3 linked regions of the Callithrix jacchus genome follow. The protein of the gene in region 1 binds, or shares a complex with, the protein of each later gene. Links are inferred from orthologs where the notes say so. Each region holds a gene or a part of one and is shown in the gene's direction. Other genes may lie near its edges. The genes, in order: MED12, MED31 and MED20.

Region 1 (3,747 bases):
CGAGATCACGCCACTGCATTTTATCCTGGGTAACAAGAGCAAGACTCCGTCTCAAAAAAATAAATAAAATAAATAAAAATAAAAATATCCTTCAGTTAGTTTAAATGTTACCTCAGCCTCCCGAGCAGCTGGGATTACAGGCACCTGCCACCCTGCCAGCTAATTTTTGTATTTTTAGTAGAGATGGGATTTCACCACGTTGGCTAGGCTGGCCTTGAATTTCCGACCTCAGGTGATCCGCCCTTCTTGGCCTCCCAAAGTGCTGAGATTACAGACCTGAACCACTGCTCCCGGCCTTGAATTAATTTTTCTTTCCATTGTGATTCAACAGCATTTTGTTATTTTTGTTACTGGTGTTATTTTTGTTTCTTGTTATTTGTTACTTTTGTTACAGCACACGGCTGTCTTTTCTCTAAAAGGCTCGCCTGTAGTCCCGGCTACTAGGAGGCTGAGGCGAAAGGATGGCTGGAGTCCAGGAGGTTGAGCCTGGGCAACAGAGGGAGAACGTGCCTCAAAATAAATAAATAAATGGCAATACGATAATAGGATATTGGCTCTGGAATCGAAAATCTTAGTGCTGGCTCTGTTACTCAGTAGCTGTATAATATTGGGTAAGTGAATTTTCACACTTTGAAAACCAGCTTCCTCATCCGCAAAATGGAGCCAATAATAATCCCTAACTCCTGAGACTGTGAGGAGATTAAAGGAGATAATGTCTGAAAAGCACCTGACACAGTAGGTGCCCCTTTCGCTAGACCAAGGGTTCTTAACCTGGAGTTCATGGACCCTTAGGGGATACATGGATGAATTTCAGGGGATCTAAGAATCTCCTTGGAAAGTAACATTTTGCATGTCAATATATGCATTCTGAGAAGGTCCATAGCTTTCATCAGCACCTTTAAGGGTTTGTGAATCAAAAAAGTTAGTCTGTGGTACCCTTGGGCAGAAAACACAAAAAAAGGTTAGGTAACTCGATTGTAGACCTTGAGGGATTAGAGCCAGCCTTTCAGGGTTTAATAGGTTCTTTCTTATGCATACATAGTTTCTAATGTTCACAATAGCCCCTTGAAGGAGGTGTTAGCGCACCTATTTTTCAGATGCCAGAACTAAGAAACGAAGTAATCTGTAATAGATGGAGTTTCTAACCAGTGCAAACATTATTTAAAACTTGTCTAGGCCAAAACTGAGCTAGGCTCTGGGAACCGAATTCCAGTCAGAACTCAGCACCACAGAGGCCTCCCTCTTCCCTGGTTTGCATCCCCAGCTCATTCCGCGCCTCCGGAACGTTTCATAGGTTTTTGCTGAGTTAAATCGACTTGCCGCCGCCACCGCCGAAAAGCTCCCGAGGCACAGAGCTCCGCCCCCACCGCGCCAGGCCCCACCCCCTCTGTGGTCGGTATTGTCCGATTGTTCCCGGCGTCCCTCGGCTTCCCTCGGTAGTTTCCGGCAATGGTCGAGAGTTTCTAACGTGCCCCCTTGTCTCTCGGCCGCCGTCCTCCCAACCACCGCCCCCCTTTTCGGCTCCCTCTCCCGGTTCCCGCTCCCCTAGTCAGCCTGGCCCTGCTGGCGCCTCAGGCGCTACGGGCTGGTCAAGATGGCGGCCTTCGGGATCTTGAGCTACGAACACCGGCCCCTGAAGCGGCCGCGACTGGGGCCTCCCGATGTTTACCCTCAAGACCCCAAACAGAAGGAGGTGCGTTCGATAATCGGGGCTCTGGAGGGGCCGGGGGCACGCGATCAGCCTAGGAGGAGGCATTGACGGCCAGGAAGGGGGGGCGGGGCGGTTCGGTGGGAACCAAAGTATTGAAAGGGGGAAGAGTAAAGTGGGGTGGCGTGGGAGGGCAGAACAGGGGGCGGTGGGGGGGTTCCAAGGTATGAATAGGGGGTGATGTAGGGGGCCGCACCAGAGGCGCCCTCCTCCACACACACCTCAGAAAGTTGTCTGAGGCAGCTTGGTGGGGTACGGCTGCTCGCAAGAAAAGAGTGATGTTTGAGGGTGCGTTGGGTGGCTGGGAATCATAGTGACCAAAGGGGTGCGGGTGGGGTCCAAGTGAATGTAAGGGCCCAGCTGTAAGTAACAATCTGTTCTACACGGAACCCTCCTCCCCGCCTGTCCCCTTGTTCCTTCGTTTCTCCTGCCCTCCTCTCCCACCACCTCCCACTAAGGAAAACAAAACTAAATGACGCTTTCCTGCCTCAGGATGAACTGACGGCCTTGAATGTAAAACAAGGTTTCAATAACCAGCCTGCTGTCTCTGGGGATGAACATGGCAGTGCCAAGAACATCAACTTCAATCCTGCCAAGGTGAGACAACTCTGCCAGGCTGAAGGAAAAGGCTGGAAAAATCTGAGAAGGAGCAAAGGCCCTGGGTTGGGAAGACTTAAAGGGACAACCTAAGTGGCTGAGTTTACCTTCATGACTTAATGATATCTCATTGACATTTGACCATCAAAAGGCAGGACCACCTGTCTCCCCTTCTTCTCACCCTGAGGTGCAGTTTTCTTCCCTCAGATCAGTTCCAACTTCAGCAGCATTATTGCAGAGAAGTTACGTTGTAATACCCTGCCTGACACTGGTCGCAGGAAGCCCCAAGTGAACCAGAAGGACAACTTCTGGCTGGTGACTGCACGATCCCAGAGTGCCATTAACACTTGGTTCACTGACTTGGCTGGCACCAAGCCACTCACACAGCTAGCCAAAAAGGTGAGGTACTGTTTCCTGTCCTTCAGGCCAAGGAGGGAGCATGAGGTACCAAGTACCCTCCTATTCCCATATTAAGCTACATGGGTATCAGCTCATGGGGTTAATAGAGACCTCACTATTTGCAATGTCCATCCAGGTCCCCATTTTCAGTAAGAAGGAAGAAGTGTTTGGGTACTTAGCCAAATACACAGTGCCTGTGATGCGAGCCGCCTGGCTCATTAAGATGACCTGTGCCTACTATGCAGCAATCTCTGAGACCAAGGTTAAGAAGAGAAATGTTGTTGACCCTTTCACGGGTGAGTAACTCCTAACACCAGGTATACTGCTGATGGCTTCAAGGAGTGATAGAGACACCCTTGGAACCATCCTCCTTCTTAATCTAGATTCCTTGTTTCTGCTTGTTTCTTGCATTCGCTTGATCAGTAAACACTGAGAAATTTGAATATCTACTTTGTGCCTATACTGGGCTACAAAGATGTCCAGTGCATAATCTCTGCCCCCAGGATACTGGTAGTCTAGTAGGGCTACTAAGACATATGTACAAATAACATAATCAAATATAGAAAGTGGTGAATGTCAAGCCAGGAGGCAGAAGGTTCTTTGAGTGGACAGAAAGATTACTTTCTTATGGGGATACCTGGGAAGGCTTTAGGAAGGTGGGATTTGACTAGAGACTAAAAGGATGAATCACATTTACAAATACGGTGATTGGGGGTGGAGGTACGGTATTCTAAGTAGAAGGATATTCTCATCAGAAGGATAGTATCAAATAGCCCTTTTCCCCTCTTTCCTCCAGAATGGACTCAGATCATCACCAAGTACTTATGGGAGCAGCTACAGAAGATGGCTGAATACTACCGGCCAGGGCCTGCAGGAAGTGGGGGCTGTGGTTCCACGATAGGGCCCTTGCCCCATGATGTAGAGGTGGCAATCCGGCAGTGGGATTACAATGAGAAGCTGGCCATGTTCATGTTTCAGGTAGGGAGTAGGGCATGTTGTGTGGGGCATTGGGTTGAGCCTGAACTTGTACTCTGCCAGCAGAG
Region 2 (3,747 bases), on another chromosome or scaffold:
GGTTTATTGGGAGGTAACCCCATTGTAAGTGGAGGAGTATCTGTAGTGCCTGGCACAGAGCAGCTACTCAATAAATATGACTCTTGTCCATCTTGTTCAAACCTCAGGTCAGGTTTCAATGACTTCCTTTCACTTTCCCTTCTAAGATTATTTTTGCTTGCTGGTAGGTTTGCTATCATTTTTAACATCTAACCTACCTTAAAAAAGTATGTGAATGGGGGTGCCAGGTAAAAGAAAACCATTTACTTTGAAACATAAACAAAGGGCAATTAATAATTTATGAGTTAGTTGCTTCTCAAGCTTTTAGCAGGCATGGAATCATTCCACAGGTCATGATTTCAGTTTGGTCTGTGTTCCTAAGGGGCGAAGGTCATCGGAGGGCTTTGGATCCCAAACTCACCTGGCTCAGAGGTTCAAACAGCCTTTGTCCATCAACCCGATTTATACAGCATCCTGGGCCTGAAAACCTTTTGTGCTGGCTTCAAGTGAATATAATTCACTGGGTCAAAAGCAGGCTGGTCCAAGACGCCGCAGGATGGTCAAAAAACGTTGGCTGTGTTCAGGAACCGCAGCCTAGCTGTTTCTTACATTGATTTATGAGCTATTTCCATGAAACCGAAAAAGATTGGTCCACCTGGCAGCTGGCTGGCTGGCAACTGGAGGCCTTTCTGTCCTGGCTGAGGGCCCTGGCACCTTGGTGGCCTTTGGGAAGCAGTATCTCATCAGGCTTCTTTCTCTCGGAGGGAGGGGGTGGTGGTGGCGGCCGGCCTGGCCCGCGGGGCTGGGCTCTCCGCGCGGTGCAGAGACGTCTCCACCCGCAGGGTCCCTGACGTGGCGGGAGGTCGTTTCCGTGCGCCGCGAGGAGGCTTCCACGTGCCAGGAGGACTCCTTGAGGACGCCAGGGAGCCACTTTCCCGACGGGGAGAGGGAAGACCCCTCGCTGCGGCCCCGTGAGGTCTCCACCCATCCGGGCGGACCGTAGACGTCTCCGCGTAGCGGGAGATCCGCACCGGGGCGAAGACTGCTTGCCCCCTGGGCTGAGGCCATTCTGCCAGGCGTGAGGGGGGCCAGGGAGGCCTCTGGGCACCCCACATACCAACCGTCACCGCAGGCAGAAGAGAGAAAAACTACTGTACTACCACAGGGGGGAGAGCCACAACACGATGATGTGGAAGCATCATTGTCCTTCGAAGGCTAAAACACTAGGCTTCTGCCCCTCGGGCGCTCCCACGGCCCTGTCCCCGCCCCCTCGCCGTTCGGTAGCCAGCGGGGATGGAGCGGCCCGGGGATGGGCGGAGCCTCCCGGCCGCATATCCCACAATGCCCCGGGACCGGAAGAGGGAGCTGTGGTTTTTGGAACTTCCCTCGCCACTCTGGGCGTTTGCTCTGTCGGGCTGGTGGCGGGTTGGTGTGTGTTTGTTATGGCCGCCGCCGTCGCTATGGAGACAGGTGAGTAGCTCTCTGAGCCTGGAGTCTTCTCAGATGGAACGCTCCTAGGCCCAGACCTCTTCCCCGGGGCTTCCTTTCAGGCCTCACTCTGCAGGGTTCGTATTTGGACAGGGCGGAGAGAAGGCCCTTGTGGCGTCTAGAAAGGCTAAGGTACTTTTCGCAGTTCTCCTAATTTGGTTTGTGCCACATCTTTGCTATTCAAAAACCACCAGCTCGCCAGGGTGGGCGAGATTAAGAGAGGACTTGTGTGTTAAACCGTGTCCTCCTTGATTGGTTTTCTGCTTCTCACGAGCTTGCGTATTTGAAATACCGTCGCTAGACTTGTGTATCATTGTGCTGTTGCTGCTTCTCAGATATGCATAAACTCCACGATCTTTTAGGCTCTCTGCAGTCTCTTTTTCGGCTTGCATCCTAAGTTTTTCTTAAAGGATTCAGCGCGTAGCTTTTGCGAAACGTAATCACTGTTAACAATTGTTACAATGCATTATTAAAATAGGGGAAGCACAGTTATTACAGCTTACCTAAGTGATCACTTAAAATTCCTGCAAAGTGGTCCACGAGTTGGTAGGAATTCTGCTCTGTTTGTGTGGCTGTTTTCTTTGATGATTTCTCTTTAACTTTAGAGAAACTTCTAACTTAATCCTTTTAATCAAGGCTCCGCTTTTCTTAGATTTCGAAGAAAGGTTTATCTCCACCCACTCCCAGTTTAGGAAGACCATCTCGATATTAGTCAGGTTTCTTTATTCTTTCCTTACCACAAATCAGTATTATATACAGTGACCTTTATTTTCGATGATTTTTGCTGTCTTGTCTCCTAGATGATGCTGGAAATCGACTTCGGTTTCAATTGGAGTTGGAATTTGTGCAATGTTTAGCCAACCCAAATTACCTTAATTGTAAGTTTTTAAGCACCTCATTAAATTGAGTAGCTGTTAATTTCTGACAGAAGAGTTGCAATTCAAAATAGTATCTGCTTGTACACATTCTCAATGAAATGAAATTACACTTAGCTGGTGTATAGATGTAATTGTGTACATTGGGACTTGTATTTTGAATCCGATGTGTGTTGGTGGTGGGAGTGTTATGTAAATAGATCCTTTATATTAGGGGTAACAAATCATAGTTTAAGAATTGGTTTGACCTACAGATTTTCTTTTTTTTTTTTTTTTAATGCTTTTCAGTTCTTGCCCAAAGAGGTTACTTCAAAGACAAAGCTTTTGTTAATTATCTTAAATACTTGCTTTACTGGAAAGACCCAGAATATGCCAAGTATCTAAAGTAAGTTTAATTTTTATAATCCTAAGCATGTGTATACTTTATTATATAATAGATTTCTTAGTTTCACATTGGCAAAAATGTATTTTGAATCTCTCCACTTCTTTCAGTTGTCACCTTAATACAAGACACCCTCATCTCTAACTTGTATCACTGCAGTAATCTATTGCCTGGTTATCTCTGCTTCCACTTTTACCTTCCTGCTCCCCTCCCGCTCCCTGCAAACCAAACAAAGCAAAACAGCTTTCTACACAGAAGCCTGCTTAATCACTTAAAAATATAAATCAGAACACTTTACTTTTTTGCCTAGAATCTTTCAATGGCTTTGCATTTCCATGCGAAATAAAATCCAGTCTCTCTTTTTTGGGCCAAACCCCTCTATGATCTGGCTCTGCTTTGTCTGACCTTGTCTTTTACCGACCTCCCCATCTCCCCAGGTTTCTGATCTCAAAGAACTCACAATCTGTAAATGTTGTTTAACATTACGTAATTTCAGCCATGGGCTGAAATTAAGAACACAAAAAGAGAGTATCTGTAAGGAAGGTGTTTGGGGTTGTTGGGAGGAGTCTTACCTGAATCTTAGAACTGCTATCTTTTCTTTAAGTCCTGTTCTGTGTCAAGAACAGTGCTAAATACTTCACATGCATTTACTCATTTATGTGTATATATATGTTTACCATTCAGGTTGTTCAGCAGACACTTTCCTGTTAAAGCTTACTAAGTTGCAAGAAGTGTATTATAACCAGAAAGCAATTCCCTTTTAATGGTAAAAAAAAACAAAAAACTACACCTTGAACTCACACCTCTGCTTTGTTTTAAGCAGGTAGTCAGAAAGCAGTAGTGAACTTTTTTTTTTAAGACAAAAATTTGAGAGGAAATGTTTCAAATTTGTCTTGAAGTCACTTTTCTGTATGCAGTAACAGTTGACTCATGAAGCATATACATCTTGTGTTGCCTGCAGGACCGTTTGTATCTTTTCTGGCTTTTTATCCATTTAATAATCCAAAGAAAAGACTTTTAAAA
Region 3 (3,747 bases), on another chromosome or scaffold:
GGTCAGAGGACTGAGGATAAGAGGTTGCAAGTAAGAGTCAGCCAACGATATTGAGAAGTGAGGTGGCAGTGAAACAGCAGTGTTGATGTCTTATAACCCAAGTAAGGATACTGTGGGCAGGAGGCCACTATTCAATTGTGTCAAATATTGCTTTAGATGAGATCTGAGAAGTGGATGAAGCACCTCAGAGGTAAGCACTCCCTCCCTAGTAAGAACCTATCAAACGTCAATTCATTTCTCTCCCTTTTTGTCTGCGAAACGTGTTTTCTGCTCATTACACTTCCCATTCGTTTTTCAGTTCTCAGCTTAAAGGTCCTACAATCGGAGAAGCTTCTCAAGACCAATGCTACTGTCACCAGGGAAACGATATTTTATCATGGAAATATATTATTCTAAGAGTCTACGTAATTGTCTCTCCGCTGGGCTTGACTGTAAGGTCCTTAAATCAGACGTGTCTGTATGTTGTTACTTCTGTACTCAAATATTCGATTGAACTTCGAGCATAGCGCAAAGCTCGTAGTAGGTTTTCCATAAATATTTACAAAACCAATGGATAAATGCTAAGAACACTTAGTGGCGCGAGCGATTACTTCCTATTGGCCTAACTTCGGGGGTGCCTAGAAGGGAGTGCCTAAAACTAGGAGTGGGCGCGGAGGTCTCTGGCCATTGCTTAGTCTCCCATTCCATTACTTTTGCAAGTCCCCTGCCGGACACTTTTTAGCTGTCCTCCCCCCCGCCCCCGGCCCCGCTGCTAGCCATTGTCTTGTTCGGACCTCATCCCAGACACTCACCCAGCCGCGTGGTGCGTTCCTGCGGCGCCGCGGGCTTGTCCCCAGTCCCATGCTCGGCCTCGAGCTCCTCCTGTTGCTGCCGTGCTTGCTGCAAAATCCGTCGGCTCAGCCGAGGCCCCACATACTCTTCCTCCTCTTCTCCGGTGCCACGACCCCGCCGCTTCTCCCGGACCCCTGCCCGCAACGCATTCCCAGCTAGGATCTGCTCAGCCAGGGGCGCATGTTTTTCCTGACCCCCGGCCCCACGGGTGGCCTTGAACTTGGGCATTTTTCTTGAAAATACTGCCGGGAAGGTTCGCACGTGGGGACGACGAAAAGGCCAGAATACACTTGGGTGAACTCCCACCTCCCAAGAGGCCACGCTGCGATCACAGCGCCCTCTAGCTATCGGAGGCCAGAAGCGCTATCAGCACCGCCCCTCCCACTAAAAGAGCTCCTGGGTTCCGGAGCTGGACTCCCAAATACATTTACTTCCTTTAACGTTGGCGTCTCTCAATAGTGCAGTCTAAGTCTCGTTCTTCTAGCTTCATGGATCTAAGCCTAGAGTGCTCAGCCAACCGGGAATTTCCGGAGCTAGAAACATGAGAGCGGGAATCCACTGATTATGTCACTGGAGGCGTCACCGACGGGTGCCAAGACACGCCCCATTCCTTGGGGAAGGCGTGGACCCGGCGCTCTGTTTTTACGTATTTCCGGAATCCCTTCTGCGACCGAAGCCTGTGTTGGGGAACTGAAGCAGTTCCTGTGGGCGGACTGGGAACGACGCATTTCTACTGTGTGATCCTGCCACCTTCCTGTCCCGACACCATGGGAGTGACTTGGTAGGACTGCAGGGGTTTTGTGGGGCGGGATTTGGAGTTGTGAAGGGCCGGGAAGAGGTCCTTGACCATGGCCCGCCGTCCTCTGGGAGCTGAGCGAAATGTCCTCGGGTTATCTGGATAAGAGGATACCGTGCGGGCCGCGGGTTCCCTGGGCCTTTTTCCTCGGAGATGCGCTCTTACCTCTTGGAAGGCGGCAGAGCAAAGGTTTTATACCAGGGACCTATCAATGGTTATGTACCTTCTTCCCTTATGGGTACATCTTCCTTCCCGTGAGGCCATAGTACTGTCTGCACTTGGACCTCAAGGTTGGAAATAGGGACTTTGGATTAGGACCTACCTGCAGACAGGGTTGGAGGGAGTAGGTTAAAAGCGATCAGGAGACAGTATTTTTTTTTTTTTTTTTTGAGATTTTCGCCTACCCTTGTCTCAGCCATCAAATGCAGTTAGACCAGCTGGTGTCTGTTTGTAATTTGCCCATTTTAAGATCTTGGGTCTAGAGGAAAAAAGAGGCTATTGATAAGAAGGAGATCGTGGTTCCAGGCACTCTTTAGGACCTGCTTCTCACTATGTTTAATTCCATGGTTGGTCTAGTTTCAATGGAGTTTTTATCTTTCATATGTTTTAAGTCTCAGTTGGAAGATGAGGTGGCAGGGAAAGGTACAACGCTCGCGGAGGCATTAGTTGTAAGGTACTAGGTCCCAGACATTTTTTTTTCTTATCGCAGGAGGTGTGAGCATCTTTCCTGTGGGAGAATCCCGGGGGCCAGGATATCTGAAGCCAGTGGCTGTAGCTCATATAAAAGCGTGTGTGGGGTAAATACTTCTCCTGGTAGCCCCGTTTCTCGCGGGTTTCTCAGTGATTGCACTCTTGTTTCCCACAGTTGACATCCTCCTCCTCCTGTGTTCCTTAATGGAAGCAAGATACGTGAAAGATGGAAATGGAACGGATGCAGCGTAGAACCCTGGAACCCTTTGCTCTTTCTTTAAAAAAAAAAAAAAAGAAATTGGGTCTTGCTATTTTGCACAAGTGGGTTTTGAATTTCTGAACTGAAGTGAGCCTCCTGCTTTGGTCTCCCAAAGTGTTGGCATTACAGACATGAGCCATTGTGCCCTGCCACCCCTGCTCTCAAATGGAAAAGGCAGCTCCAGGGAAAGGATGTAGGGCACGTTGGGAGCCTGATGTAGGGCTGATGGCCCCACAGGGTCGTGGGGTGAGCCTTATGCTGTGCTGAGGCGCAGGATCCGAGAAATAAAGAGACAGGACACAGAAGTACAACAAAAACGCAGCTGGGCTCAGGGTGGAGAGGGGGGCACACCACCTAGAAGCAGAGTCAGGCGAGGCCCCGAATGTCCAGAAGCATGAGTATTTATTGTGTAGGTTAGGGGGCAGGCCAGTGAGTGAAATCATCTTTAAGGATAGAGATAGGGTCGTGAGCAATAAAACATGGGGTCCACCCCCATGAGGTCACCTAGGCCAGGAGGTGGACAGTGCACAGCAAAGGGCCCGTTCCCACAAAGGCAAGGGCCGTGTGCAGTAAGGGGTCCACCCCCATTAGGTCACCGAGGTATGAAGGTGGGCCGTGCTCAGTGTGCAATACTTCTATCTATGGTCAAACTCCTTCTAGGAAGATTTATAGGAGGATGCTTTAAGTCACATAGCAGTGACAGAGCTGTCAGGGTTACCGCCACCTTCTGGCAGCTTCCAATGGGTCCTATGGGAAGATGCTTTTCAAGCAGCACAGTAGCAAGAGCTGATAAAGTTCACAGTCACCAAGGTGGATTGCCGTTCTGAGGGCAGCCTTCCACAAGAACGGGAGCAAGGTCCTACAACTCCTTCATGAGGAGGAGTGGCTCTCGTCCCAAGCCTGCCATACAGCGGGTATCTTTACGATACTGAACGCTGCCGCCTGGGCCATGGATTCTTGTCCTGGCATAACTGTTTTTCCCTTAAATCATGCTCTGCACAGTGTCTGCTCTTAGGCATTCCTCTGATTATAAGCTGCTTATTCCTTAATTCATACTATGTACTGTGTCCACTCTACGCATTCCTCTGATATGAACTAAGATATAGGTATACATGTAGGGAAATATTCTTTAGGCACTCATACTATTAACTATTATATGATTATATAGAGA

The links.
Region 2: MED12 (region 1) and MED31 share a complex: the UniProt entries of both Homo sapiens proteins name them as parts of the mediator complex. The link is inferred for Callithrix jacchus from reciprocal best matches to the Homo sapiens genes MED12 and MED31.
Region 3: MED12 (region 1) and MED20 share a complex: the UniProt entries of both Homo sapiens proteins name them as parts of the mediator complex. The link is inferred for Callithrix jacchus from reciprocal best matches to the Homo sapiens genes MED12 and MED20.

What each region holds. Positions count from the first base shown.
Region 1 is NC_133524.1:68,398,247-68,401,993, forward strand, and holds the start of MED12 (mediator of RNA polymerase II transcription subunit 12), read left to right. Parts: upstream 1-1,425; 5' UTR 1,426-1,594; coding exon 1,595-1,693; intron 1,694-2,200; coding exon 2,201-2,305; intron 2,306-2,512; coding exon 2,513-2,704; intron 2,705-2,840; coding exon 2,841-3,000; intron 3,001-3,500; coding exon 3,501-3,682; intron 3,683-3,747. UniProt on the Homo sapiens protein: Component of the Mediator complex, a coactivator involved in the regulated transcription of nearly all RNA polymerase II-dependent genes.
Region 2 is NC_133506.1:108,211,074-108,214,820, reverse strand, and holds the start of MED31 (mediator of RNA polymerase II transcription subunit 31), read left to right. Parts: upstream 1-1,339; 5' UTR 1,340-1,421; coding exon 1,422-1,449; intron 1,450-2,267; coding exon 2,268-2,345; intron 2,346-2,630; coding exon 2,631-2,727; intron 2,728-3,747. UniProt on the Homo sapiens protein: Component of the Mediator complex, a coactivator involved in the regulated transcription of nearly all RNA polymerase II-dependent genes.
Region 3 is NC_133505.1:50,422,622-50,426,368, reverse strand, and holds the start of MED20 (mediator of RNA polymerase II transcription subunit 20), read left to right. Parts: upstream 1-1,497; 5' UTR 1,498-1,598; coding exon of another isoform or gene 1,599-1,612; intron 1,613-2,492; 5' UTR 2,493-2,543; coding exon 2,544-2,638; intron 2,639-3,747. Other genes in the region: BYSL (bystin), read right to left, coding at 792-1,059. UniProt on the Homo sapiens protein: Component of the Mediator complex, a coactivator involved in the regulated transcription of nearly all RNA polymerase II-dependent genes.